4 linked regions of the Oreochromis niloticus genome follow. The protein of the gene in region 1 binds, or shares a complex with, the protein of each later gene. Links are inferred from orthologs where the notes say so. Each region holds a gene or a part of one and is shown in the gene's direction. Other genes may lie near its edges. The genes, in order: stx4, stx18, sybl1 and vti1b.

Region 1 (7,841 bases):
TGTGTGAGTGAAAGAAAGACAATAAGAGAGATAAAACTCTATCAGTTGTAGCAGCTCTGGGGAGCTCATTAATGGTGTTGTTTCAGCATTTGATGTGTTCAAATCAAGATAAAAGTCTTAAATAAGGACGTTGTTGAGAATTCTGTGAGCATATACTCTTTATGAAATGATCTCATCTCTGCCTTTCCTGTGTGTCTGTGAACAATAATACATCAAATGTTTTTAGTTTTACAGTCACATTTTCTGTGCAAGTATCAGGAATGGACAACTTTACTAAAAATTCAAGGAACAAAGATAATGTTAATGTTGGATAGTTCATTGGCTGAGTGTTCTTCCAAGCCTGACACACACTGATAAAAGCAGGGATGACAAAAATGTGGCTTGGGGGACAGAAATGAGTTGCCGAAGGGTCCAATCAGACCCATGGGAGGACTTTACAGAGTGCAATGAGTTCCAGAGGACCTATGAATAAGTAATCCCAGAGCCAGATCCCAGGCTTCAGACCGCTCTAAACACTAGACATCTTTTTCTACTCTTGTGGTTCTCAAACTTTTGTCTGAGTCTGTGAAAAAATAATTTCTTGAAAATAAAAGTCATATTCATTCAGCTTAGCTTCACCTCATGGACCCGTGTCCATGTTCCACCTGTACGTTTCTCCACACACCAAAATTAGAGACCCACTGGCTTAAAGGAAGGAGGCAAAAGGCTTATTTTAAGTTACATCGTGCTCTAAAATAAGATCTGTTAATCATGCGGAGCTACTTTAGCAGAGCAGACAGGAATGAGTATAATAGGACGCCCTTAAAGACATACAATGCTAAATTGGGTTCATTCTAAGGTGTAATATCTGAGCCACTTATTTCTTTTCTGAACTGAATTGAACTGAATCTAATTTTTGCATCTAAAGCTGCAGTATATTGATTTCTTTTATATTTAAGGTAATAAGGATCGAGACAGGAGAGCTTTCCAGAGTGCAACTTTAGCCCTTTTACCAGGACGTACTGAGTTGCAAGACAGCGAGACTGAAACATGCTGACAGAGGATGTCCAAACATCCATGACAAGCATCTATAGTTTTCCTGGATTTGCCAAAGATACATTTATTTCTAATGAATATTGATCATTGTGGCTATTGTTCTCGCCATTTTTAAGAAAGATAGAGTTATCATTATATTTTTTTAAATTAATGAACGTTTCCTTGGGTAGCAGCTGATGTATGTCTGACTTAGATTCGAACGCTGACACTACTGTTCCAAAGTCGTTAATGTCGTCAATACACTATCCAGCACAAGCTTGACAACAACGTTGTACCAAGGGCTGAAGGAACATCTGGAGTAGAAGGAAGGTAAAGTACAAAGTGGTCCCAGTGCTCCCAGTAATCGGAGCATTAGGAGTTGTAACCCCAAAACTGGGAGAGCAGCTCCAGCAGATTTCAGGCACCATATCAGAGGTATTCAGAAGAGTGCAGTCTTACATATACCTCAGATGCTGTGCAGAACCTTCAAACTCCCAGAGGGTCCTACAGTACCTTAGCCCAGTTCTTCTCAACCACTGATGGTGGTGTCTCCTAACGGTACATAAGCAGCACAGATGTTCTATCCCAGTCACTCGTTTGGGTCTGTCTGTGTACGCCAGGGGTGGGCAACTTCAGGCCTCAAGGGTCAGTGTCCTGCAGGTTTTAGATCTCACCCTGCGTCAACACACCTGAATCAAATGATTAGTTCATTTCCAGGCCTCTGGAGAACTTCAAGACATGTTGAGGAGGTAATTTAGACATTTAAATCAAATGTGTTGGATCAAGGACACATCTAAAACCTGCAGGACACCAACCCTTGAGACCTGGAGTTGCCCACCCTGGTGTATGCTGTCCAATAGTCTAGAGGGAACCTTTGGACCCCCTGCAACTTTGGTCCTGGCAACCACCTCCGGTCTCTTTCATCCTTATGTCCATACTGCTCACCATTGTTCCCAGTGTGCTGTAACCTCTGGATCTCCAGCTTCAACAGTAACCATCTTCTGCTGATGTTATTGCACTGAGCTGCCAGGTCCTTCTAGCTCATTGTGGATGTTGGTTTTCTACTGATCCCACATGTGCTGCACATAACCTTTTTTATTGTGTCAGCTGGCATAGTAACATTCCACCAATTCCATATTTTCAGTCCTTCTCCATGTTTGCATTGTTCCAATAGACAATAATATATAAAGGTGAGCTTGAGACACTGGACTAAAGCTTTCCTGTAACATTTGTGTTTAGGTTAGGAGATTGTGCCACCCTGTGGACAACCAGCAGTCCTGCAGCTCAAAGAACCAGCTGCTGCAGATTATTTAACTCATTCAGTTTAACAACCATATCTTAACAATGCATCTGCATGATCGCAGTTGGTTTATTGATATAGCAATGTTTAATTTTATGAGTTGTTTTAAGATTTTATGATAAATTAATGTGAAAGCAGTGCTCTACAATTTGACTTAACATAAACAAGTTTCATTGTTGGGGCGGAGGTCAAGTTAAGGCAATCATTTGTGTTCTTTTAAAAATCCAGCAGAATTTCTTCCTGATTATTTTTTGATTACTGAAACTTCATTACTCTGTTCATCAAATCATGAGTCAGTCTCTCACTTTCTGCTTCAAGGTTCCTACAGATGCCGCCCTCGTCCTGATCAGTGCACAGCTATGAGCCTGTCCTCCTCCCACAGGGATCTTTGTTCTTGAAGGTTTCTTTGGTGTTGGGTGTTGTAGAATTTTGTAAGTAAAGCCTGCAACACGGAAAGAGCTGTGATCAAGCTATTTATTACTGCGCGCAGGAGAGCCAACACACATTTAGCATCACAGTTCACAGTCATGCCAGCTCTTCCCCTTGGGATGTCTCAGCTTCTCTTTTATACCCCCCACACACAACTCTGTGTATCTTTTAGTTACAATAGGTTTCTGTCCCACGGGCTGTGGCTGGACAGGGGACAACTCCCACTATCTTTTCCCAGGAAGCTCCTGGCGCTGGCCCTGAGTTTCATCCTTCTGAGCAAAACAGTTAGCAGATAACATAGTGAAACATCGTTAAGCAAAGCTAAGCAGTTTTCACAAGGTCATGCTGACACATACACATACTTCATCTGAGCATTCAAAGGTTATACAAAATCATACAGTGAAGTTCTAACCAGCTAAATCTACATGTAAGGATAAACTAGAATTTTTCCATAACATTGGGCCAGTTCTGCCTGGAGTTTGTTAGTTTCCTCTTAGTGCTGAGAATTTCTCAGTATTCTTTTTCTTTTCTCTTTAAATGCTGAGAGCTGTTTTTAGTTGATCCAATTTTTTGGGAAACATTTGTGTGCAACTTCCCCTTTCTTGTAAACTTCTACTTAAAGAAATACCCTTGCTTTTTCTGCCTTATCTCTTTGAGTTTTACGCAGTCCTTTTCAACTGCTCTATCTCCAAGACTAAGGCAGCATGCTTTTCCTCTAGGGCCGTTATCTGTTCTGCCTCATTGCCCAATGTCTGACTGAATTCGAAGTTCTCAGAAACATAACATTCACTGCTCGTGTTTACAGGCTCTAAAGCAGCCTGTGGTTCTTTCACTGTGATGTCACTCAGCTCAGGGTGAAGAGGTGGAGTAGTTTGGAGAACGTGTGGTGTTTCTGCAGACAGTGGGCTTCAGTGTTGGTGCCATAGGCTGTGTAGATGTTTCCAGCAGGTAGTTTAAGCACCACTGCAGACTCTTGGAGGGTCACTGTCTACTGTGGTCATGGAGCTGCAGCAGACTCCAATTTTGGTGCTCTAGCAGGCTGTTCCAAGATTTCAGTTCTTGATTTTCAGCAGATATTAGAGTTGTGACCTAAACTAAAATGTTGTAACTCCCGACTTTCAGCAGGGATCAGTTTCAAACGTCTTTCAGGATTTGTAAAGCAGGATTTTCTTGTTCTAGTGCAGTTACCTTCACATAATTTGGATCTGAATGAAAGCACTCTTCAGATTCAGAGGCTGCACTTTTCATGCCAACGCAGGAGACAGCAGATTTTAGACGGTTTTACTTTCAACTTGCTTGGACTGCACCTGTAAATTCATCACTTATAGCAAAATCTGAATTTTTTAGGCATTTAAACAAGCAAACTATGGACTGAATTGTTTCTGCCTCTGTGTGTAATGTCTTTTTTCATCTATTTTTTTTATAGGAAAAGATTTTGATTCCTCAGGCAACGGCTGTTCTCCAGTCAGTAGAAACTATTAAACAGTAGTTACAGGCCGATTGGAACAAATCAGTGTTTCTAAATTTAATTTAGTCACGCTGTTTATAATGCTGCCACAATATGACCTACATGTAACTTTTGGTGCCTAGGTGGTACAGAACAAGTGAGTGAACATAACATTAGATCTTATGTCGACATATCAACAGCATCTGCAAGTACAAGAGTAAGTGAGCAATATTACTGGCCCTATAAAACTGGCTTAATTTTAAAATTTGTAATAAGTTCTGAGGTCTGTTTTCTGTAAAGTCTACAATTGCATGTTATTACATTACAACACCCATGACCAAAATATTGTTGTTCGTCTTTGTTTGCTTTTCCTGTTTATTTTTTCCTCTTTTCCTTCACTTGTCCACTAAATTATCTATTCTCTTCTTTCTTTTTCTGTGCCTCCTTAATCTTAATATCCTAAAGTCACGACCCTTATATCCCTACTATATCTGGACAATATATGTTTATTGATCTATATAAATATTCGCACATATTTATCTTTATATGCCTAGATTATTCTACGTAGTGAGTATTTGGGAAGAAAGGAAGCCTACGTTTGGAGTCTTTCAGCAGTTCCTCCTGCTATGACAGGGGGCGCCAGTGAGTCGATGAGTTGAGTGTTGAGTGGGCCGCAGAAGAAGAGGCGCTGCCGCTGGAGTTTACTAGTTGAATGACAGCGGCGGCGTGAAGTTTGCGGATATTACGCTTTGGGAGCGGCTCGCTTTATTTCAGTGCAGCGTTTTTTTACTTTTGATTTCTTCCCTTCGCTTTTGGAAAAATGAGGGACCGGACCAAAGAATTAGGAAATGTGAGTTTCAAAGTAAACTGCTAACATTAGCCCTAGCTTGCTAGCGTGGCTAAGTTAGCCCAGTTCACTACTTTACCCGAGTTAACCAAAGAGTCTCCAGGGACAACTTAGACCAGCAGAGGGAATCAAAAAAGTGGTTAAAGTGGGATTTTTTTTGCAGATATTTCTCTTTATAAAAGTTGACTTTATTGACGTTTCACTTCCAACTTCCGTTTCAGTCCTTTCTCCTTAAAGGATAGGGCAGGCCGGGACAGGGCAGGGCTGCAGGGCTCATGATTCACATCCTCGGACAGCGAGAAAGCACTCACTGTTTTTCTTCTGTTTATGTTATTTAAAATCAATGTGACTTCAGACCGCAGAGGCTTCGGATGACGATGAGGAGGGCAAAGCGCTGATGAGCAAATCTGGAGGCTCAGAGAAGGAAAATGATGCCTTTTTCAAAAAGGTAAGGCAGAAAAATCACGCACTTCTCCCTGGAAAATCCCCCAAAATCAAATGATCTGCACTGTCCTCATTCACTGTGGTAGTTTGCGCACATTTCTGAATATCACATTTGTGTAAAAGAGAGACAAAAATGCACTGCAGAGGCTTAAATATCACAGACTGCTGCTGATGCTTCTTAGCCTGTTTTGTCAACAAATCATAGTCTGCTAAATCCCAGTCTCCTTGTACCCGAACTGTCATGAGTAAGGAACCAGAGTTAGTCACCTAATATCACAAAATGTGACTATTCTCTGCGCTGATCTTAGGCCTCTGTAATAATATGTTTGAATATTTTTTGGTTTTGATTTAAAATGGTTTGAAGAAACTGCTCATTTTATGCATATTCACCCTTTTGTCCTTGGAGTCTTATTCTTGGTATGGAAAACTCCCCCTAGAAAGTATTTTAAAGGTCCAAAAAGTGTGACTAATATTTCAGGAATGCCTTAGATATTCTCATATTTCAAGATTCAAAAAGTTTACAAGCAAAACACAGTTTACAGGTTAATATAAATCTACAAAATTGCAAATGTACAATTATGAATAATTAATGTTCGACAGTTCATCAGTGATTCAGCCTGATGGCCCGTGGATAGAAATTGTTTTTTGGGTTTTTTTGGTCCAAAGCAAAAACATGGAAAGTAGGAGACCTCTGAGCCTGATCCACTTGACCTTCTTGCCACTATAAATTTTTAGAAAGACGTTTATGTTAGTGACACCATTCACCAACAGGAGGAGAGAAGCTGGAGGATAAGGACCAAGGTTATCTGGGGAGAGGACACAAGGACGTAAGGGCAGGGAGCCACAGAGGCTGGACATCCAGTGTCAGGTTAAATAGATGTGGAGTCAGAGCAGTTTAAACTGTACTGCGTAAATAAGTGGGTTAACGGTGCTGTATGCAAGTGTTTTATTTAAAAAAAAAAAAAAATCAGCAGTTGTTCAACTAACATGAATAGTCTAGTTATAAGGCAGATTAATTGGTTAGTGAGCCATACTGAGCCTGAAGTCAGTTTCAACTGTCATGAAGGTGGCTTTTTACTTGGCTGGATCACTATAGTAACTTGGACTGAACACATGACCTGGTCTGCAGAAGGTTATGTTCAGTGTTTTGGTTAAAAATCGTCTGGAAATGCCGTGTTTTCACTGATTGAGAATATGTTGTACGTATGGTTATGTTTTTCATGCTGAGGAAAGCTGAGCAGCAGTGTAAACAGGGTGCAATCATGGAAGCTCGCTCACTGAAGAACTTTTTTCTTTTTCCATCCATAAGTCAAAATTTGTAGCTGGCGTCTTAAAATGTTGACTTTGATTTGGCCACAGACTGAAGTGGTTTCCACACCTTTGTCATCGAGCCATGGTCCATTGTTAGTCCTGAATTCACTGAATATTATGATGAATCAAGTTTAAAATTTCACAGCTTTAACTTGCAGCCGTCGCGTCAAAAACCTTTATTGCTTCGGCAGAAAATAAGAGGGTAAGTAGCAGCCAGGTGCTGCTAATCAAATGCGTGGGAAAACTACGTCATAACTTGTGACATAACTGGAACCTCCTCTTAACCCTACGCCATAACCTTCCACGTGTTGTGGGCTGCATCGACCCAGCATGTAGTTATATTTCTTGAGAGGTGCACGTCAGGTTACGGCGTAGGGTTAAGAGGGGATCTGGTTACGCTGCAGATTTATTCATGCATTACTTTACAGGACTGGTATGACTTTAATAGAGCTGTGCATAAGCAAATGTCTGCTAACCTCAATGACCTGAAACAGTGTTGAATTGCTTCCAAACAAGAAAATGATTACCTCAAGTTATGGGTGCTAAAGGTTTTTCTACAAGCTGCTGAATCGTGAAGTGGACTTTTTTTCATGTGATGGTATATTAATTCATGAATTCACAAAACAAACAATTTTCTGTAGCACTGCTTCTCTGAATTATTTGCTGCACCAGTATTGCTTTGTTTTGTGAGTGCAGTCAGAGCCTGAAGCAGAAAGCCTGTGTGATACCCATTATTGTCTCTGATGGGGGACTTTAGGTGTTATTGAGCCAGCTAACGCAAAGAAAGCTTACCTATGTTGGCATTCCTTCATAGTAAGCAGAGGCAGCTGCACCCATTTAGCTATAAGGACCGACAGAGGGAATAGGATGATGTTTGCTTGATATATGAGTTAAATTGAGCTAACAAAATAGTTCTTTTGTTCCCTAAGAAACCTAAAATTCTTTCCCTGTCATCGTCAGGTCCAAGAAATTCACGAGGGGCTCCAGCAACTCAAAAGGATGGTGTCTGACCTCGAGAACAAACAGAAAACTGTGCTGGGCGAGGCGCT
Region 2 (7,951 bases), on another chromosome or scaffold:
TTATTCACAGAAACATGCTACTGACCTCTCAGCTTTCCTGCTTTCATTCATTGTAAACAGGAGACGGACACGCCCTCAGAGACACAGACGACTACACTTTTCTGTGAGACTGAAATAAGCACACCTTACTGCAACAATAGTCGACTGCAGCAACAAGATGGCTGTAATGTGAAGGCTGAATGCTCATATTAATTGACAAGTAAGTAGCTCTATAAAAGCACTGTCGGAGGTTAAAGGGGGGATTGCTTCATTTTGGTATGATTTAATTTATGTATATTTTTAGATTTGATAAGGCAAGCACTGCTTACCTTGCTTGCCCTGAAAGAACACCACTGTGTTTTCTGATTATTGTTCTGCTGCATAACACAAGTTCGTTTGAGCTTCAGGGCACAAACAATCCTTCAGGATTTTCTTATAGAGAGCAGAATTCATGGTTCATGGGATGATGATCTTACTATAAAATGCTGTGTTCAAACCACTCAAACCATCCAAAAAAAAGTTCAAATTTTGTCAGTCCACCGAATATTTTCCCAAAGGTCTTGATAATCTTAGAGATGCTTTTTTTTTTTCCTTTTTTCACAAATGTGAGACGAGCTTTTGTGTTTGTGTTGTGTGAAAGTCTCTTTCTTATTGTTGAACCCTGACCTTAACTATGGCAAGTGAGGGTTTTTTTTCCTGGATGAGCTGTTGATGTTCTCTTGGAGTAATTTTAGCAGGCTGGCCACTCCTGGGAAGGTTCAACACTGTCCTAAGTTTTCTTGATTTGTGGATAATGGCTTTAACTGGGGTTTGCTGGAGTCCCAAAGACTTGGAAATTGCTTTGTAAAACTTTCCAGACTGACAGATGCCAATGACTTTAAAATATGGCATGATGTGCTGCTCTTTGAAATCTCTTAGCTTCCTTTACTTTGTCAGACAGGTTTTATTTAAGTGATTTCTTGATTCAACAGGTCTGGCAGTAATCAAGCCTGGGTGTGTTTAGTGAAACTGAACTTGTTTGTGTTCCAAAAAATTGTGGTTAATCACAGTTAATTTATAATTTAACAAGGGGCCAATTACTTTTTCACACAAGGCCAGGATAAGTTTGGATAGCTTTTTTCCCCCTTAACAAATCATCATTTAAAAACTGCATTTTGTATTTTCTCAGATTATCTTTGTCAAATGTTAACATTTGTTTGATGAAACTGAAACATCTAAGTTTGACAAATGCAAAAACAAAACTCAGAACTCACAAAGGAGGTAAATACTTTTTCATGCCACTCTAATAAGCTAGAAGTGATAACTAAACAGCTGGGAATGCTAATAGAAAAAAACAGCTTGATATACTGCATCCAGTTTATGACTTTTAGCATATTCCCTTAAAGTGAAGGGTAGCTCATCAATAAGCTCTATTAAAGCTCAGACCCGCTACACTAGAGAGCAAATTTAATTACAGAAAGAATGGCTTTTTGCACTTAAAGGACCACATAGTGGATCTATGAAAGAAAATATGCTCCTGAAACTTCATTCAGTCACCTTTTTCTTCTAGCTTAGTAAAGTGTGATGCGTACCGTAGTGAAAATTCAGCGATCGGTTAGATTTCTTGCAGCACATTTTGGCATCTTAAAGGCAATCATTCCTTTGTGCGTGCCCATGCACACCATGCTTCAAGACATACACTCTTACTAAAGTCAAAACTATAAGAATTTTAAATGCTGAGACTGCAGAAAGGGTGAGACAGTCGCAGCACTCAGCTGTAAAACAGTCTGGCACAACACTAACAAAGGAAATGAGCAAACCACATAGCAAATAACAGACTTTTATTCAACACTCTAAGCCCAACTGCTTATATCTGAGTGCCAATCCCAGTCACTTGCAAATAAACAGATTTATGAGAAATAGTACACACAAATTGCTACATTTGTCTAGACAGGACATTATTCTAGCTTTACTTATACTGGCAAGATTAGGCTGGAGTTTTATGAATATGTATATTTGTATATGTCAAATCTTGACAGTCTCCAAATTTGCACTTAAGAGTGAATTAGGTGACTCAGCAAATAAACTACATTTCTAACAGAAGAAGAAAGAGACAAATTTTGCCTCCTACAAAGAAAAGCCGAATGTGAAAATAACTGAAATTCAGTATTTATTTGGGATAACTCATTCCCTGCAAAAATATTTAAATATTACATAAAATTTTCTTTATGTGGCCATTTAATCATCCGTCTTCTTCTGTTTATCTAATCCAGGGTTACAAGAGGTCTTGGATCTGTGCTACCAGAAGGCAAAAGGCAGGGTACACAGTGCAAGTCTCTTGCAGGGCTAACACAGAGGGAAAACCATTTGTGCTCATTCACACCTGTGGAAAGAGTTAGAATGACCAATTACCCTAACACATGCATGTCTGTAGGAGGAAACTGGAGTACCTGGAGAGAACCCATAGTAACATACTGTAGGGAGAACATACACACTGCACACAGAAAGTCTCCAGCCAGCTAGTGGATTCAAACCCAGGCTCTTCTTGCTGTAACGTGACAGTGCTAAAACACTGTGCCACTTCACCAAAAAGCACTATATTGCTGTTTTCACTATATTGCTCCCAAGTACTACATCCATCCATCCAATTTCTTCTGCTTATCCAATTCAAGTCCACAGACGGGCTGGAACCTACCCCAGCTGTCATAGGGTGTGAGGCAGAGTACAGGCTGGCTGGAGAGGTCGCCAGTCTGTCACAGGGCTAACCGGGAGAGCCAGACAATCATTCACATTCATATGTACAGGCAATTTAGATCCACCCCCCATTCTTTTACTATAACTACTGTTGATCAGTAACTGCAACATGGATTATCTTTAAAATCTAAAACTTCATGTCCATTCCAAAAAAACAAATAACACAAGCTTAAATGCAGTCTTGAATGGAAAGTTTAAAGTAAATACAGTATCTTTCAGGAGATTTTTAGTGATAACAAGCGCTCTGAGTTAACGTGTTGATTTTCTTTTTACACGACAAATTGCGTAATCAGGAGGAAAAGCAAAGCTATTATGCATCTTAGCCTCCAGTAATTACACTGATGTACTTTAATATAAACAGACAACAAAATTCTACCACACTGCATTAACTGGGGTTTTTTTGTTTGTTTGTTTGTTTTGACTGTACTGACAATCACTCATTATTGTGGCAGTTACAATACAATACCAAAATATAATCATTAGAACAACAGACAGAAGTTCTGGCATGAATATTAGTTTTGATTAGCACCAACATGCAGCCATCATCTGTCAGTATAAACATCAAAACATTTCCTTATTCATCACATTGCTACCAGGTAGAGGGAGTGTAGAAAAACTGCACTGCACAGCTCAGAAATTGCACAGTCTCTGAGCACAAGTCTCCACAAAGACATTGAAAACCATCCAACAAATCCCACACAGCATAAATCAGCCCATTGGTAGGAACACGGGTTGCATTCATAGGTGGCAGAAAACTCGGAAATAAGTTGAATGTGTGTATTTTAAAAATGCACTGGCATATAAATATTCTTATAGCTCACCAGGTCAGGAGGTATCTTACACCTCCTTAGTGAGGTGGAACAAAACTAGTGTCTTCCTTCAGACTAAATATTTCGTATCGTTTCACAGAAAAAACCACACATTTAAAATGATAAACTGTATAGTTTAATTTGTTGATTGTGCGGTGTGCTGGTGATAGAGAAGTAAAATGAGAAGTATCCAGATGTTCACTAGAGTCGGTAATGTCAGTAGCATGTGGCGTTCTCAACAGCACCGTCAGTGATTTAGCTACATTACTAAATGCCATCTTTGGTTCTGCTGCAGAGATTCGTATATTCGTATATGTGGGGAGCTGTCACTGTGTCAGCTGCTTCTTGTTTGGGAATCTTTCATCTATTGTGGGAATATTTTCATCTCTAACACAGCATGAATAAAAACTTTTATCCATTAATTTATCTGATAAATGTTATTTTAAATTTTAAATGAATGGGCAATCTTTCAGAAAACCTTCAGTAAATAATCCCCAAAACTCGTTCTGATTTGATAAACTAAGAGTTTCCATCAGCTGTGGGGCTAAAGAGTCGTATCTCTCTTGTTGTAGCACGTCTCAGAGGTTCATTACAGAAATAACTGTTCGGGTCTCTGTAATGAACTGCTCAATGGACAGGCTTTTATCTGTTAACAAAGAATCATTGCTTGCATTATTTATTGATAAATATAGCAAGTTGATTAAATCATTCATGCATACTCCCTACTTTGTCTCTCTATGTTTAAATGCTTTTTCCTTGTTTTTCACTATCCTATAAATTTTGCTTCAACACGTTGATTTTCCTCACCTTTACCTCTGTGTATTTCTGTCGTTTGATCTCCTCCCTTGTATTTGCAATCAGATTTTCCCATTTTTGTTGCACTCTGAAACTGTACAATGGACCTGTGGGATGGCAGCATTTATGGTTTGGACTGTCGTTTCCCAGACTTGTCCCTTGTATTCTCCAGTGTTATATTTTCTTCTGACTGTTTCTCTTCTCCTGCATTCTGCTGGACATCACTTCAAGAGCCTTTAGAGGCAATTATCTAATGGAGATACACACAGATTGATTATCTGTGATGGATTATCTGTTATACTGGTGCTCCCTAAAACATGCCTAAAACAAAGCTGAAATTTTGATTCGTGGCACATACAGGTAAAGGCTTCAAGTTAATGCTTTCAGACTCAAGGTTTCAGTTAAAATATTAAGAGATTTTTTTAAAATTAAAGATATTTAAAGATTTTCCCTATAAGAGTTGATTCTAAGCGACCAGTATTTAAATATACGATCGGACTCTGGCAGAATTCAATTATTATGATCTGAATATTAGTTATAATAAATAAATACTGATGAAATCTTTAAGGTGAAACGTAACGCTTTCGTACCCGTATTACAGGAAAAATCTAGCGCGTCCCACGAAGATGACGTCCTCACCGGGTGACGTGTCAGTTTGTTTACAGCGGTGAGCAGTCGGCTGCAGCTGCTCAGACATGGCTGTTGATATCACGCTACTTTTCAAAGCCAGCGTTAAGACGGTCAAAACCAGGAACAAAGCCATAGGAATTGGCTTCGACTCGACCAAAGATGAAATTTTCAAGAGAAGCAGACCGAAGAGTGGCTTCTCACCGAGGGCGAAAGAAGTGGTGAGTGTTCATCCAGCCTAGCGTTAGCTAACTCTGCTAGCACAGTGGCCAAAGTGCTTTACGTTTAATGGCAGCTTCTAAACTTACTACTACTTTGTAGGAGCAACAGCAGCCAGTGGAACATATACAGTGCATATACGATGCTTACCACTTGTATTTTCTTTAGTGTGTTGGCGCTGTTCGTGGTTAGCCGGGCCTGTCAACATGTGCAGGCTATAACTTTGCTAAATGCAGTATGAACTTAAATTTGATTAGATTTTTAAAAATTTACATTGAATATATGCAAATTATATTCAAAATGTGTCATAGATTACATAATATTATGATATGTTGAGATTTAAAATATATAGGATTTGATTATTGCTCTTTTTGACTAATACGATAAGTGGCCAGTTAATCGTTTGTTGACGGCTTTGATGATCTGTACTGAGAGTAGGGAGCAGGTGAAATAGAGCCTGGAGATGTGCAGGTATGCTTTGAGAGAAGATGAAAGTCAGTAGAAGCAAGACAGAATACATGTGTGTGAATGAGAGGGAGACAGGTGTAACAGTGAAGCTGCAAGGAGCAGAGGTACTGAAGTTTGATTACTTTAGGTATCTGGGGTCAACCATCCAAAGCAATGGATAGTGCATAAGAGGTGTGAAAAAGAGTTTGCAGGCAGGGTGAAGAAGGTTGATGCAATATCAGGGGTGATTTGTTAGAGAAGGATAGCACCAAGAGGGAAAGGGAAGGTTTGCAAGACTAGACCTACTATGATGTATGGCTTGGAGGTGGTGGCACTGACAAAAACGACCGGAGGCCGAACTGAAGATGTTAAGACTTCTTAAGACTTAAGACTTCACTGGGAGTCACCAGGTTAGACGAAATTAGAAACAAACACATCAGAGTGCAAGAGAAATACTCACCTTATGCCATTTCCTGTATATACTTTGGTAATCTACAGGTAACTTTTACAGATGAGAAACCTTGTTCACATTGAACTTTTATTTAGTATTTTGTAGCCAGGCGTTAAGAATACAATATTCACTCATTAAAGTTATCTGGGGATGCCCAGGCTTACTACGTGTGCTCAACTGTGTTTTACAATTCCTGGTTATTATTATAATAACTGCATTTGTTGGAGTATGCAGTTATTATAAGTGCATACTCCACTTCATGAAAAACAGTCTTGGCACAGATTGATAGATGTGGGCAACGCAGGGAGAGAAATAAGCCAGAAATGTTGTTTCATAGCTGCTGGTGTGCAGTCTCCCAGTCTGTATTCTCATATCTGACCAAATTATCATGAAAAAAAATCACTCAAGGACAAAATTGTCACATCAATAGCCTTCCTATAGATTAATCAATAAAAGCTAAAAGTAAAAAAAAACAAAAAACACTTTTTATAGCATTGAACTCAGTGAAGCCTCTTCTTTTCATCAGAACAGTTCATTTATATTGCAGTTTAATTGTAAATTGTGCAATTTATTTTCCACAACACAAAGCCTGCAACTGATATTCAGAAAAAGTTTTACACGCTTGGATCAGCAGTTTATATTTTTTTCAGAAACCATATAAATATGAACAGCTACACGACTGAAGAAGTATGTTTTTCTTTTCTTCCTTTCTTAGTTTTCTGGCAATACCCAGTTAAAATGACCTTGGTCTCACTGAAAAATTCTAGCTTTTTAATACACTGTCAGTAATGGAATTTTGACTTCATCTCCTCTAATACTGTAATAATATCAATTTATTTGTAGGATTTCACATAAGACTAAATATATTGGGGAAAAACAGCTTTGGATCTCATTTTATGAAACATCTTAAATGATCTTTTTCCACTGAAATACAGACCTATCCTCTATGGTTGACGGTACAAGATCTAGCAGTGTACATGTTGCTTATACTTCTACTGCTGCTCTTTGGCCTGACATGAATATCTCAAAAACAAACCTCTTCAAAGGTACCTTGAAGAACCACTTTACGTATCCCAAGGGGAGTCAGGGCTTTAAGTTGTACCCGATGTCTCCAGCCATCAGCCCGAGGCAAACATAAGCCCATTTGCTGCAGCTTTGCACAACCAGGTTTTTGTTATGTTCTGTTACATTGATATTACAAATGGTGGTTTAATAAAGGCACTGCTGCTTATTCAAGAGAAACCCAAACCTATCCTGTGGTGGCTGTCTCCTTCGCGTTGCAGATATCATCTCCGACCATCTCAGTGAAGCCGTTTTTGCCTAAATTGAAAATGTGAGCTTGGAATGTCCTGACTGCTTACAGTTATGTCGCGGTTTTCACCCACGTCTCCCCAGCTCAGCTATCCTTTTCTGTCTCTATTCAGCATCACATAGGCAGTAATTTTTATGCAGGTCGCCTCTTCCCATGTATGATTCCGTAAACATGCTGCAATAACATTTTCTTTCGGCTCTCAAACAATTTCTGGGGAAAGCTGATCCTCCCAAGAGCCAGTGATTAAAGGTGGAAGATCAAAACAGAGAAAATATTAAATTAGGTCCCCAGTAACAATGTTGACGGCCGGCACCTAATGCACAACAGATGTGGGTGCCCTTCAAGACATGCATAACTCTCCCACTAACTCTCCCTCCTAAATTCCCATTGAAGCTTCGCAAAAATAGAAAGAAAACATCAAAGTTGACAAATACACAGTGGACCTCTGAGACTTTTTTCTTTTTCCACTCAAAAGTCAACACAATGAGAAAGGAAATGTAGCTACTTTCAAGTCGATTCAAAAAGGGTTTGATTGACTAATAAGAGGGCCAGTGTTTGCAGGGTGGGGTTTGGTAAGGG
Region 3 (7,541 bases), on another chromosome or scaffold:
TGACATGTGATCGTTACAGAGTTGCACATTGAACGAAGCATTGAAGTAAACAAATCTGTGTTGAGGATTTTTTTTTTTAGAATCTAGTTACTCGATGAATCGTTGAAGCCCTAAAACGCTGTCACAGAGATTGCTGACATGCTCGCTTGTCCTCATTCCAGTCACACGTACTCACTTGTTCACCAGCACACGTAAACATGCACACACACACACACACACACACACACAAACTAAATCTAGCTCATCCAGGTGATACAATACTGTCAGAACTCTTCCTGCTAATCTAAGAGAGCCAGTGTGTAATTTTTGACAGATATAGTTTGCACTTAAACTACTAAAAGCAATGAGCAGTTCATATTAAAACACCTGTTGGGGTTTTAAAGAGAGACAAATCACATGCTTCCGTTTGATAACACTGTCATAAAATAAAATGATTATCATATTATTGTCTATGAGCTGGAAAGCGAGGAAAGTCCCTTCTAGCTGGAGTCTTACTACAGATAACAGCCATCAAGCTTCACTCATACCCTTTGTACATCAAATAAGCCACATGTGTAGGATGTGACTTTAAAGATAAAAAAGAAAACATTTTTAAAATGTTTATTTATTTTTAACTGATTCCTTTGATTTGGATTAATCAAAGGAATACTCGGCTACTGAAATAATCGTTAGCTGCGGTCCTAATCTGACTCGGTACAACCCAGCCATAATTCTGGCTGCAATCAATCAATTACAGATGTCTTGATCTTAATCCGTGTATAAAACACATATTTTCAATTTTATTCCATTCCAACCTCCTCAAGAACAAGCTTGGTGAGAAGGTGCAATTATTCACAAATGGAGAATATAAAATGACCATCACTCGCCCTCAGTTTGAATCTCCATGCAAGATCTTACCTCATGGGTGAGGACAAGAAAGACGATGGATAAGCCCCAAACTAAAGCTTCTCAATGACCTTATGGCAGCTGGGATCACAGACCCCAAGTACACCAAGTGGTAACACACTACGTAGTAACGGATTGAAATCTTGCAGCACCCACAAGCTCTCCCTGCTCAAGAAGGCCTGTCTTTAGTTTGCCAGTGAACATTTAAATGATTCAGAGAAGGTTTGGGAGAAACGCCTGCGTTCAGATGAAACAAACAACTAACTCTCTGGCTTGTGTTTTAAAAGAAGAGAAATGCTGAGTTTGACCCAAAGAACACCATCCGCACAGTCAAGGAGGTGGAAAAACTATGATTTGGGGCTGTTTTTCTGGTAAAGGCACAGGACGACTTCACTGCAATGAGTGGGCGAAGCTACGTACCATAAAATTCCTTCCCTCAGCCAGAACACTGAAGATGGATCCAAGTCACGTTTTTCTTGGCGATAAAATATTTTTTCACTCAAACACAAGCAAATCAACTCATAACTTTCATGTAATGCGTTCTTTTCTGGATGTTTGGTTGATATTCTGTGTCTTTCCATTTAAATAAAACTGCCATAAAATTAGAGGCAGTTTATTTCTTTGTTAAAAAGTTTGTATATTCAGCTGGAGATTTAATAATTACTCCCCCCTGTGTACGTGTGCCAAAATCTGGAATAGAAATAGTGAAAGTGGGAACTAATACATGGACAGCTTTACATAAAATTACATTAAGACATGAATAGAACGCCCGACTGAAAAAGACAAAGGAAAAACTGAACTGAGGCCTGGTTAAAAGAATATTTCCCTTTTTCTTATGCTAAACTAAATATAGAGCGACACAAAACCGGGATATGGGAAATGAATGTTCCTCATGAGCGTCTGTGCAAGTGCAAAAAAAAAAAAGAAACAATTCAGGATTGTGTCAGTGATCGTTAACTGAATATGCTTGCTTTTGTTGGCTGCTGTTGAAACCAAGCTGTCAATTTTTAATGTCGCTGCGCTTGACTATCTTGTTTTGATAATCTAAGCGATTAACCAAAAAAAGATGTGGCATTAAAAAACAAATGAAAAGAATGCTGCGGTCCTCCTGGCCCCCTTTTATCAACTGACACGGATGACCTCAATCCAGCGTTGTGATTGCGGTCTTGGTGGAGAAATTTAACGACCAAAATAAATACAGATCATTTCAAAGGCCGATCTGATGCCCAAAAGTGTAGTGAGTATTTTTTTATTTCTCCTTGTGCCTCGAAGGTAATCGGGTTTAGCTGTATTGAAGCCGTGAAGAAAAAAAGAAACCTCCAGGCAACCAGAAACTTGGTTCAACAACAAAAACAAGCTGTTTTCTCAGTCTCGCTGAGTCCTTTCATGTGACAGGGCTGCTCTTATCTTTTGTGAAAGCGGGTGACAGATTTTTTTTTTTTTTGCAACCGTGCAAGTGGTTATAGCTCTCAAACTTAGGGCGCGTGTGTGTTATTATTTGCAGTATATCCTGATCAGCCTTTTTACCTTGCAACACTGGCCAAAACCCTTTATTCTCAATAAACACAGCCTTGACGGAGCGGTGCGTATTAACAGAGACGTCTCTCACCTCGTGTCTGAATGCGAAAGTTGATCTTGCTCTCTGACGGATGGGTGATGGTGTAGCCGCAAAACTCCACATCCGCGCTGGCAAAAGAGAAAAGCGGGGAAATGAAGGTGAGGTTTGCGAGCATTCTCAGAGTTTTGCTCAAAAAAAAAAAAAAAGACTGGTAATGACTACATTTTTTTACATTAGCAGACCCTCTCCTGGCAGGATGACAAGAGAGCCCCCAAAACAGGGAAGAGGGAGAAATCACATGCTTCCTTTTGATAACACTGTCATAAAATAAAATGATTATCATATAATTGTCTATGAGCTGGAAAGCGAGGAAAGTCCCTTCTAGCTGGAGTCTTACTACAGATAACAGCCATCAAGCTTCACTTTGAACGTCAAATAAGCCACATGTGTGGGAAGCGATTTGAAATATAAAAAGAAAAAAGAAAACACGACGGTGACCATGCTGAGTTCAAAGGGGGAAAAAACCAACACAAAAACGCTCACTTCTTCATGATCATGTATCTGAGGGAGTTCCCTAACGTATGGTCCTCGTCGTGCAGCACAAAAGTCACACAGCCCTCATCTGCCCCGTCGGCCTGGACCTAGAATGCAAAAAAAGCCCATTCTTTAAACATCGCACAGCCAACATGGAAGAGAAACATTACACCAGCTTCCTCCTCTGAGATTAGTGAGTGGGCGAGCCGCTCACGCTCATTATGCACTTCCAAAATATTCAAAACATACAGAGTTACAGATGCAAATAAAAACAGACACTGATTACATGCACAGTTGGGTCCAAGAGTATTTGAGAAAGGACATGATTTTATTTGATTTTTTTGCCTCTGTACGCCAGCACAGTGGATGTGAAATTTAAGAGAGAAAAAAAGAAAAATCAAGATGTGACTTGGAGCTTTAATTCAAGTGTTTTAACACCAAAAGTGGACCTACTGTGCACTTTTCCAGCTCCATATTTTGCTCACTGGACTCTTTGTTTGGGTCACATAAAATTTTCTCATTTTTAAACCAGGCCTTTTTTTAAACTCAGGCCTCATAAACTTTATCAAACATCTACAACACACAATTTTACCCCCGTTCCTCCTTCTTTTAGGCCAGCCTTCATCTGATTGGCCACCATTCACAAAGTGAAGATCTGCACTGGAGCAGCTAGAGCTTATTTAAAGTGCCTGACTTGTCCATGTTAGGGATATCCACTCTCAACAGGAGAAACAATAGTTTGTTGTTTAGAGTAATATGAAGCCTGAACTTTTTAGCTCTTAGGAGTCTTTTTTTAAATGTACAAACACTAACTTCATTATTTTCAAGTTTTTGTTTTCTTTATGGAAAACCATCAAAGAATTGCAGCCATTTTTATACGACAACCCACACTTTTACAGCTGCGAAGGCATGCAGGCCTTCACTGCGTTCGTCTTTACCTGCTGTTTGTTTGTGGCCCTCTCTGCTTTCAGTTTTGTCTTCATCAGTAACTGAAAACCATGCTCTGCTGGGCTGAGCTCTGATTTGACCATTCAGGAACATTTCATGTCTTTGCTTTAGGAAACTCTTGGATTCCTTTCTGTCTGTGTTTTGGGTTATGGCACTGGAAAGCACCGTCTTATCAGTTCTAAAGCACTTTGGCTGAATCTGAGCAGAGAGTACTCCCTGTACGCTTCACAGTTCATCCTGCTCCTTCTATCAGCACTCACATCATCAATAAAAACCAATGATCCAGTTATACCGGCATCCACACATGCCCATGCAACAACACTGTCTTCACCATGCTCAAAAGATGATGAGGTCCTTCCCCTCTTATCATAGTATCCCCTTCCAAGGTAGTTAAAGCAATACTTTTAAACCCACTTGAATTAAACCTGAAGCTTCATATTTCATTTTTAATTGGTATCTTTATTTCACATCATCTGAGGTAGGAAAATTCAGAAAAATGCATCACTTTCCAAATACTTATGGCGTTTATCTTCATAGGATATGAACACTGTTTAACTACTGCCCCCTACTGGAGATACTGTTAGGTACCCGTGGACTGAGAAAAATCCGCATCTAAATTAAACAAGTAGGTACCCTCATGTTCCAAATTACTGTTTGTCTCCGGTGCTGGTAATGCTTCAAAAAGACAGATTTTAGCGTATACTTAAGTTAGATTAACGCCGGTTAAGTTTATTTACTGCTAGCCACTGTAGCTACCCACGTGAGGAGCGCACAGGCGGTCAAATCGCTGCCATTCGCTTTTTTGGTTAATCAATCCGATCTAGAAAAAATAAAGACGAACCCATCCAACCGCGCACACCATCAAACCACACACGATTTTCGCTTTTTACCATTTCTAGTACTGCTTTCTTTTCTCCTTCCCCGGCCATGCTTCACTTTCCCACCGCATCCGTCAACAGAGTAAGGTTAAGTACTGTGCTCTTTAGCCCTGAATCTGGTTTGACAGGCAAAGGAAAGTTCAATACGACTGAAATTTACCTCAATGTTTTGGTAACATATGTATGATTGTAGCCATACACTATCAAATTATCAGATAATAATTTTCATTTAAAGTGACGCAGCTCTGTGGTTGGTAGAATATTTGTCAAACGCGTCGTTTGACAAATATTATATTTTTAATATTTTTAATATTTTTAATATTTACCTGATAAATATTTATTTCAATAAAAGCTAACCTGTTGAGCAATTAACAATGGTAAGTTTTGTCACATCTCTATCTGCAGGGGAAAGCGTTATCTAGCGTTCAAGTCGCCTGGAAGACTCTAACAGGGCGAAATTCGCGCCCCTTCTATAACAAGTCGTTTATACGAAGACGTGACGATGGAACTACGTAATATGTAACTGGGGGTAAAAAGAAAAATGTAGTTCCAAAAGGGAAACAACGACGTTAAGTACATAGAGCCAGAAATGCGGTACGAACTACACTCCCCGGCACGCGCTTGAACGTGTTTCCGGTCTGGACGATTTGCTTAGCAGGCAGAAGTCACTCGAAAGGGATTAGCCAACTAGCAGCTGAAACGTCTTTAAATGTGGGAATTTGCGCTAAATGAGCCACTTTAATCGTCGTTGAGACATCCAGGTAATGAATATGATGTTATGTGACTATTACGTACGTTAGCTCGGTAGCTAAAAACAACCAACATGGCGTCAAGCGGCTAACTACCTTTCTGACGCTGATATGTACGTTTAATGGTCAACAACAGTGTTAGCTATCTTGTTGTTTCCCAAATTTTGGTTCATCTAGTATTAGCTGGCATTTTACTCTAGCATGACAGCCTGCTCATGATTGGGCATTTTCCTAGGGCGTACTAATGGCAGTAATTGGATTTCTTAGTTACACCTATTCACATGTCATTTTATTTCCTTCTTCCTGTTATCTGTAACTATTTTTGGCTGTTTCACAAGAATTATTCTTCCCTAATCATTATCGTTTGGGTTTACCCCCCAGCCCAGCAGTAACAACTCGCCTTCCTTGTCCTTCTACCTCCAGGGAGGTAATAAAGGTGAAAACCCAGCTGTTGCCATGGCAATCCTGTTTGCTGTGGTGGCTCGAGGAACCACTATTCTTGCCAAGCATGCATGGTGTGGGGGTAACTTCCTGGAAGTTACTGAGCAGATTTTAGCTAAAATTCCCTCAGAGAACAACAAACTGACATACAGCCATGGCAGGTAAGGGCGTGTGCGTGTGTGCGGCCTGTGTCATCTCCAGTTGGCAGTTTACATCCTGTTTGTGACTGTGCCTACGGCGGTGTCATGTGATAAAGTACCACAGAGTTCATTCCTTGTAAAAACTGTAGGAAAAACAGCCCTACTGTATAAAACACCTCTCATCTAACGATTAACCCTTCTGCTTTATTTCTAGCTATCTGTTTCATTACATCTGCCATGACAGAATCATATACCTGTGCATCACGGATGACGTAAGTATATATTTGACAGTCATATATTTTTGTCAGGGGTTTGGATTTGCAGTAGGCCATTTGTAGATGTTATGAATGTATTTTAAAAACCTGAATTAGTATAAAAATAAATATAAACCACCCAGCCACTGTAGGAAATGGACACATGTCCTGTGTTATTGTAGAAAACCTAGCATTACTGCTGTTGCTAAAGATGAGATAGGTTTTGAGGCAGCCACAATTGATTATATGCAACTTCTTATAAACCTATTTGACTCTTATCTTCTAAAGGACTTTGAGAGGTCACGTGCATTCACCTTCCTCAGTGAAGTGAAGAAGCGTTTCCAGACAACATATGGCTCACGAGCACAAACAGCCCTACCTTACGCCATGAACAGCGAGTTCTCCTCTACACTGGCAGCTCAAATGGTGTGTATGATGAAAGCCTGAACATACCAAGCAATGTTTCCTGTGACAGCTCTGTGATGTCTTAATATTTCTGTGGTTTAAAAGAAAAAAAAGGAAACAGAAGAAGATGTGAAGAAGTGTGACGTGTTCCTTTTCTTTGCAGAAACACCACTCAGATCCACGTGGACCCGATCGTGTCACTGAGACTCAGATGCAAGTGGACGACCTGAAGGGCATCATGGTCCGCAACATAGGTGAGCGTCTCTTCAATTTCCTCATTTTGTATTTATTCATAAATAAATAAATAAACAAGGCTCTGAGATGGAAAAACCTTAACTTAAACTCTAATAAACCAAGTTAGATAAAACCTGTAATGTGTGACTGGTGTGTGGTGTGACTTTCGCCCTTAAATGAGTGCAGTGTTGTATCATGAGCGACCACCTCACTTACAATGCATGATGTGCTGTGTTTAGTGAATTACTCATATGTATTGTATTATGTGTATTCACACTAAATTCACTGTTTGCATTCATTTTTTTACAGACTTGGTAGCTCAGAGAGGAGAAAAGCTGGAGCTGCTGATTGACAAGACAGAAAACCTGGTTGATGCAGTGAGTTTAACTACAACTGATTAGGCTCTGTTGCTTCTACTTATTTTCTGATGAATGACATTTGTCATTATGTATATACTGCAACTGCAGTCTATTAAACAACAAATATTGTTACTGATTACATTTTTTTCCTTCCTC
Region 4 (7,352 bases), on another chromosome or scaffold:
AGGCATTGTATGTATATGTGTGAACTTCTGTATGTAAATAAGAATGTGTGTGCGTGTGTGTGTGTGTGTGTGTGTGTGTGTCCTCCTCCTGACCAAAGAGGGTCATAAAAGCAGGAGCAACATCCTTGGTCATAAAGAGGGTAGTCTCCCCCACACCCAATGTATTGTTTACCATAGATAACAAAGTGAAACCATACAAAGGGCAAGAAGTTTTACCAAACATCAAAAAGACCTTCACAAGGATGTTGCCTGTAATAAAAGACTACAGCCCCCCACTCAGAACCTCGAGAATCTGGGGGAAGGACAGAAGAATCCTTTCATCACAGAGTTAAAACAATGTAGAGATGGTAAGCATAAAAATGACAACATTTAACAATCCACTCTAACATAAAGTGCCATGGAAAAAGTATTTTCCCCTTCCTGATTCCGTAGATTTTTTTGCATATTTGTCACGCTTAAATATCATCAAAAAAGCTTTTAAATTATTATATAATTTATTAAGGGGGGAAAAAAGCAATTTAAACTGACCTGACCCAGTGTGAAAAAAAATGATTGTTCAGTTCAGAACTAAAGAAGCCTCTTCACAAACTTTAAAGAAATGCAGTTGCCTTCTATCTCAAATTATTAAGATTTTAATGGCACTGTGAGTCATCATCAGCGACAAACCTAGTCCTAATCCTGTGCTTTCAGAATATGTAAATGTTTTTTATGTATTTCTTTAACATTTTGTAAAGCTTATTCCCCTGAGTATTTGGAATGAGGTGAGAAAAAAACGAATCATTCTAATCGACATGCATCAATCCCTTTCACTCGCACCTAATACATGAAGTTAGGGTTGAAGCTACGGTTGGAGGTCATGACCCACTCATAGGATTGAATTGTTTTTTTCTTAACGAAACCAAAATAAAACTTTATACCTTTTCCAAACCCAGACTGATGGCATATTGACCATATTATAATCATACAACAAGTCAAGTATTTATGTGACTACATTTAAAGCGAGGATTTCCTTGAGACCACAACAGCTAATTGTGTCACACCATGGTCCATTTTATTATGTATATTTTAAATGGGACAAGGACGCTGATTTCAGTCTTATTGCTTTAAGAGACTGCTGATTTCTCTCAGTAGCAGGTTATGGATTTAAAGAGGCACCTCGCATTGCCAGATCCAGGGCAGTCTCCTTCCCAATTCCTGTGTTGGCTCCAGTGATGAGGACCGTCTTCCCATCAAGACGAGTTGTGGACTTGCACACTCCTCCTGCTGCATATTTTCTGCACACAAACAAGACTGATTTATACTACACAAATTCTGCATCATCAAATGCAGCAGACAGCTCCATTTAAATGACTAGGAGCTCCTTCTGCAGTCTCTACATGCTATGCCCCCGTTAAAGCTGGCATTGTGGTGAAACCGGGTTAATTATTCACACAAAAACTTGGATAGTGAAGTGTGCAAGTGGTGCGAAACACACGCCAGTGAGCAGTGCCGCCACATAACCAATAGCTCTCTTGGAGTGTTGCATGCATATATAACTCCTCCCACGCTCCGGCTGCTGATAGGCCCGAGCAGCTCAGACGGAAGACACCCGGTTCATCTGTGCAAGAAAAAAAAACACCCTCCCACAGCTCAATTTTTCTATTTCATTGATCAGCAGCCTCATGTGAAATCACCATTAACGTAAAGCATTCACAAATAACGATCATGTGGCTTCATTAATCAAACTGATCCTCATCGTAATAACTACAACACACCACCTAAATGTCTTGTTAACCAAGTAATAACCTGCCCTGACATCCAGTGTTAAACTCTGCGTTTAAATTCTAATGACTGAGCGCGTGAAGTGGGCGCTTACCTTATTTGTGGTGCAAATAAAATCACCAGCAGCGTCACCACTCCGAGGCCCGCGATAATTAATAAAAGGAACATCATGCTATGGATCTGCGCTCCTCTGCCTCTTCCAGCAGGATGCTACCGAAGTGTAGGCGGAACAGCTGATGTCAAAGCAGGAATGGGGGTGCGAGCTGCAAACGGATGGGGTGAAGGTTGAACCATGCACAGGATCATGGGATTGTAGTTCGATGCGTGACAAGACGGCTACTGGAGACGTTACGTAACAGGGTACACCGAGTTTGCAGCTGGGCGCAGTGGTTTTAAAGTGAAATGTCATAAAAAAGAAATTAACCAAATTTAGTTAAGAAATTATTAACAACAAAAAGACAAAGACAGAGTCACTTGTTTCAAATGTTTCAAATTTTTTGGTAAATGTAATTCATCTGCCCCGTCTTAAGCACACACAGAAAGTCAGTTGAATTATATTTTAGCCATTTAACAGCAGTAAAAATCCCCTATAGGTCATTTTTTAAGCTGGAAGCTTAATGAAATTTGCTAAAATACAGAAAAATTGAGGCTGCTCTGGGTCAAATTTTACCCACATCTATTCAAATCGATTTTAGATTCACCACTCTGGGTCAGCTCAAGGAAAATTGCGGTTTTATGCAACTGTAGATGGCATCTTTGTGTAATTACCTCTTTGTGGTGCTGGACTTTAAAGGGGACCTTCAAATAAAATGCAAAACAATGATGCATTGTAATAACACAACACAGTAACTTAAAGTGGAGTTTTTTAAAAGTGGAAGAAAGGTATGAGCAAAAAAAATGAATAACTTAATAAATAAATAAAAGAATGAGTGAATGTTTATTGCACATTATCATTGTTATTATTATTGTTGTTGTTGTTGTTATTGCTGCCCCCCCCCAGGAAAAAAAAAAAAAAAGTCCAGCGAGGTAGCAAATTTGGTCAGCTGGTAGCATTGCTTAGGGCTATTGCCCTGTTGTAAAAGCTGTTCTTGAGTCCGTTTTGTCCATGACTTCAGCAGCCTGAAGAGGATGTCCAGTGATTTTTTGGGAGACATTAATGACCCTCTGAAGTGCCTTTTTGTGTGCCATGGTGCAGTTGGAGAACCATACAGAGATACAGTATGTCAGCACACTTTCAATGGAGCAACAGTAGAAGACAATCAGCAGTTCCCTCTTCAGGTCCAATTTTCTGAGGATTCTTAGAAAATGGAGACACTGTTGGGCCTTCTTTACAACCGCCGAAGTGTTTGAGCTCCATTGGGAGTCTGTGTCTATGTGCACACCCAGGAACTTTAAACTTTGTGTTTTAAAGGTATCCTGGCCTCCTCCTAAAGACCTGGATGTCAGGTTAACTAGTGATTCTAAACTGGCTATGTGAGATAGCACTAGAAGTGTTTAGTGTTATTCTTACCTAACTGAGATTAAAACGCAAATCAACACAGGGGTTGGTGGGGTTATAAGACTGTAAAGGCACCTAGGTTGCCATTTCAGCAAATGTGGGAAACACTTGTCCCACTCATGCAAAGTCTTCTACCACCGTGCCTAACACAGACTTGTTAGTGTGTGCCTAACACTTACAGAATAAAACAAGCAAGTTTTATGCTCTAAGTGTTTGTTAATATTCAATTAATATTGATAAATATAAAGGAAATCTTATTTTTCGGTCTGCTCCTCCCTTTAAGGGTCACCAGAGTGGATCATCTGCCACCATCTCACCCTATCCCCTGTTCCTCTTCTGTCACACCTGCCCTCTGCATGAACCTGTTCTTTGGTCTTTCTTGTTTCCTCCTGCCTCACAGACCTCGCAGGACTGTGTCCAAACCATACACCATAGCAGGTGTCTCTACCATCTTGTAAACCTTTATGAGGATGTTTTTATGACATAGTAGTGAGGGCAGTGTTAAACAGTTGTATTTGTTATACAAGAATATATATAATAAGTCCCAACAGGTCCTTAATGTGCCATTTTAACTTTCAATAAGATACATTGTAATTATTTTGACAGTGATGTTTTGATGTCTTAGGTAAAAACAACACAAAACAAAACAAAAAACATGAAATAATACTCTCCCCCTGCTCTCTGAAACATTAATACATGATTAATCACCCATTTAGACAGGCTATTTATACATTCAAAATAGATCTGTACTTTAAAATTCGTTATAGACACTTACTATGTGGATATTCCTCCATCTTCAACGAGGGGAACTCTGAATCCATGTAGTTTCAATAACCGAATAAACAAACATTTCCCAAGTAGCCCGGTTTAAAAACTACATTTCCCAGAAAGCCCCATTAACGTTGTCTCTGTAGCGCCTGAATGAAATAATTGTTAAATAATTATCCAGGTGATTTTAAAACACGCTTTCCACAACATTTCACTATTTTGTTTTAAATTCCTACACAATTGTGTTTGTAAAATATTTTTTCAATTTCATATCTAGTAAAAATAATTACATTTTAGTACGTTTGATTTTTGTTCCGGAGTTACGACGGTCGGTCGAAAACCATCCGGAAGAATCCCGAGGATCTGATTATAGTCCTAGCAAAACTACATACTTAAACTTGTGATCATAAACAGTGTTGTATTTTACAATAAAAGACAAAAATAATATCACAAGAAAGGAATTTAAACGACACGCAAAATGTCGTCGGAGGAATTCGAGAAGTTGCACGAAATGTACCGATCGTTGTACGAGGAGCTGAAGCTGATGCCAGACAAGGCTCAGAAATCTCACGGAGGTAAATACTTGCTCATAAAGCCGAGATTAGCAAAATAACTACGCCTTGGAATATAAGTTATGTGCTTTTAAGTAACACTTGTACTGTCACTCCTGCAGAGGAGAGGAAGAGGCTGGTGAGGACCTTTGATGAGAGACATGGGGAGGCTGAAGAAGTGGTGAGCTGTTTATCTTTTTCCCATTACAGCTAGCTAAAGTTCACTTGACTACTAGCTATGTCTTTTGCATGTAAATACACTTTTTTTCTTAAATTGAGGTTGAAATTAACTTTTTAAGAAATTTACCACCAGAGAAATAGTGAATTATCAAAATAATACATGCATTTGTTGTGCAAATAACACTTGTTCAATACAAAATGGAAACCTAGTGTACATTTTACCCCAAAAAAGGCATTTTTCTCTTGCCCAGTCTTTTTGGTAACCACAATGCATTTCAAGTAAAACAGTGAAGTTTAAAGAGAAAAAAAAACAACTTTTTTTTTTTTTCATTTTGTTGACACAAATCTTTTATAACTGTTATTCCATTGTTTAACATCAACATATTTTAAATAGTTATTTAAGAATTATGCACTCCAAATTGTGTCCTACAACATATGTGCAAACCTGTTACCAACACCTGTTTAACCTGGAAAAGAACGAGACAGTGAGTGACATGACAAAGATGCAGTGACATGATTGAGTCTTGTGCTAGCACCAGGGTTGGATATTTGCTTATACATTTTTGGGGGGGTTTTCTCCAAGCTTTTTTGACTAGATTGAATGTGTCACTCTCACCAAAGCGACCTTATTACCTATATTATCAAAATCTGAGGGATGTTTCTAATATGTTAGCCATCAAGTTTATAAGAATAAAACCAAAATAAAAGAAGCTCTCAATAAATTTAGTTAACAGCTCTCTGTAGTATGGTAAGTATGCCCTATTTTAATAGATTTTTAACTGTACATTAATTCAAACGGCACTGAAATGTTCTGATTTACGGAGGTTAAGCCTAAACTAGTGAATACATTAATAATATATCCTTGTTTCTATGGAGTAAGATCCTTTTTTGTCTTTTTCTCAAACAATAACATTTTCTTGTCTTTCTCCAGTTACAAGGAATGGAAGAGGAGCTGCGCGTTGCCCCTCTGTCCTATCGAAATTCAATGAGCACAAAACTGCGTATGTACCGGCGAGACCTCGGCAAGCTTCAGAGGGACATGAAAAACTCAGCACCTGGCTTTGGCTCCTCGTACAACACAGTGCAAGGAAATCATGGCATCTACTCTTCACAAAATCAGCACAGTGTGAGTGAGGGGCTTTGGGATGCTTGGGTTTGCTGTTGCAGATGTGTGACAGGCCCTGTCCCTAGTCTGTTTGGATGCACAAAACATTATTTTATGATGTTGCTGTTATGTCAGGCTGCATGTGTAGGGTAAGACTTTTTCTGGGTGTGTATTTTTTTTCTTCCTCTTTTTGCTGAGGAATATCAGTGTGCTGTAACATAAGAAAAAAATACAAATAGGAGACGCACAAATCAAGAAAACATCTTCATCAGTTTGACACAAAATCCTCTCAACTTATAAGGGCTTATTTTTGAGCAGCACTTACAGATCCAGACTGTATTATTTGACAGAGGATAACAACATTCATACTGCAGTTAGAAAATAATGACAAATTAAAAGCAAGAACTGTTTAAATTAAATAAAATGTAAGAGAAAAATGTCAACCCTGGTTCCTAGTGATCCTTGTGGATCTTATTAAAGCCATGCATTGGAATTGTAGAAGTTGTCATGACAGCAAAATGTCTATGTAAGTGTATTTCCAGAATAAATCTGCTTAAACTTGGTTTCATTTGTCGCTTTTCCCCATCTTTGTAGACGCACCTGCAGTCCCAGAGAGCGTTGCTTCTTCAGGGTACGGATGCTCTAAATAACGCCAGCCAGAGTATTGAACGCAGCCAGCGCATCGCTGCTGAGACAGAGCAAATTGGCACAGATATCATCGAGGAGTTGGGAGAACAGAGGGAACAGCTGGATCGAACCAGAAACAGAGTGAGCTGAGAATCATTATTACGCTTGTATTCTTGTACTGTGCTGTGCAAAAGTCTTTAGCCACCTGTGATGTCTATATGTCACTGACCTATGAATCGTTTAAGCTTAAAAAGGCACCTAAATCAAATGATGAACCAGTATTGATGTGTCTACACGTGACAGACAACTTATCACAAAAACACATTATTAGTTTCAAATTTTTTAGTCAAATATATGAAAAATGCCAAATATAACACAGTTCAACAGGCATAAAATACTATTTTTTGGACTAAAAATGTGATTTCCAAAAAGCTACTAGCTGTCAGCCTGACATATCTCTCTATCCTGTGCAGTCCTTAAAAATTTTAACCTAACTAAAACTTTAAATATTAACTTTCAAGCTCATTAGCATTTTAAATAAAAACTCTGTTTTTACCTTATGTGCTGTATTTTCATGCATGTTTGCACATTTCAATAAATCGTTGCATATATTTCCTATTTTCCTACCAAACTATAAAGAAATGAATAGTTGCTCAAGACTTTGGCACAGTACTGTAGGATGACGATATGATCTGAGATTAGTAGGTTTGTTGAAACTCTTCTGTCTTGTTGTTTTTGTAGCTTGCGAATACTGGAGAGAATCTGAGTCGTAGTAGAAAAATTCTTCGTGCAATGTCGAGGCGGTAAGTGCACCCTACAAGACGTCTTACACCACAGTAGTTCCTTCGTTTTTTTAATGCAA

What was found.
Region 2: stx4 (region 1) and stx18 share a complex: the UniProt entries of both Homo sapiens proteins name them as parts of the SNARE complex. The link is inferred for Oreochromis niloticus from reciprocal best matches to the Homo sapiens genes STX4 and STX18.
Region 3: stx4 (region 1) and sybl1 share a complex: the UniProt entries of both Homo sapiens proteins name them as parts of the SNARE complex. The link is inferred for Oreochromis niloticus from reciprocal best matches to the Homo sapiens genes STX4 and VAMP7.
Region 4: stx4 (region 1) and vti1b share a complex: the UniProt entries of both Homo sapiens proteins name them as parts of the SNARE complex. The link is inferred for Oreochromis niloticus from reciprocal best matches to the Homo sapiens genes STX4 and VTI1B.

What each region holds. Positions count from the first base shown.
Region 1 is NC_031973.2:5,168,069-5,175,909, forward strand, and holds the start of stx4 (syntaxin-4), read left to right. Parts: upstream 1-4,827; 5' UTR 4,828-5,010; coding exon 5,011-5,040; intron 5,041-5,392; coding exon 5,393-5,485; intron 5,486-7,752; coding exon 7,753-7,841. UniProt on the Homo sapiens protein: Plasma membrane t-SNARE that mediates docking of transport vesicles. Necessary for the translocation of SLC2A4 from intracellular vesicles to the plasma membrane.
Region 2 is NC_031970.2:27,530,394-27,538,344, forward strand, and holds the start of stx18 (syntaxin-18), read left to right. Parts: upstream 1-4,937; 5' UTR 4,938-5,011; coding exon 5,012-5,164; intron 5,165-7,951. UniProt on the Homo sapiens protein: Syntaxin that may be involved in targeting and fusion of Golgi-derived retrograde transport vesicles with the ER.
Region 3 is NC_031966.2:31,859,136-31,866,676, forward strand, and holds the start of sybl1 (vesicle-associated membrane protein 7), read left to right. Parts: upstream 1-4,534; 5' UTR 4,535-4,550; intron 4,551-4,815; coding exon of another isoform or gene 4,816-4,854; exon of another isoform or gene 4,855-4,932; intron 4,933-5,375; exon of another isoform or gene 5,376-5,564; intron 5,565-5,933; exon of another isoform or gene 5,934-5,975; 5' UTR 5,976-6,008; coding exon 6,009-6,154; intron 6,155-6,347; coding exon 6,348-6,405; intron 6,406-6,675; coding exon 6,676-6,813; intron 6,814-6,955; coding exon 6,956-7,046; intron 7,047-7,335; coding exon 7,336-7,403; intron 7,404-7,541. Other genes in the region: polr1d (DNA-directed RNA polymerases I and III subunit RPAC2), read right to left, coding at 2,495-2,571, 2,987-3,084, 3,916-4,008. UniProt on the Homo sapiens protein: Involved in the targeting and/or fusion of transport vesicles to their target membrane during transport of proteins from the early endosome to the lysosome. Required for heterotypic fusion of late endosomes with lysosomes and homotypic lysosomal fusion.
Region 4 is NC_031983.2:21,977,741-21,985,092, reverse strand, and holds the start of vti1b (vesicle transport through interaction with t-SNAREs homolog 1B), read left to right. Parts: upstream 1-4,348; 5' UTR 4,349-4,505; coding exon 4,506-4,602; intron 4,603-4,700; coding exon 4,701-4,759; intron 4,760-5,689; coding exon 5,690-5,884; intron 5,885-6,457; coding exon 6,458-6,631; intron 6,632-7,231; coding exon 7,232-7,293; intron 7,294-7,352. Other genes in the region: rdh12 (retinol dehydrogenase 12), read right to left, coding at 1,156-1,274, 1,856-1,932. UniProt on the Homo sapiens protein: V-SNARE that mediates vesicle transport pathways through interactions with t-SNAREs on the target membrane. These interactions are proposed to mediate aspects of the specificity of vesicle trafficking and to promote fusion of the lipid bilayers.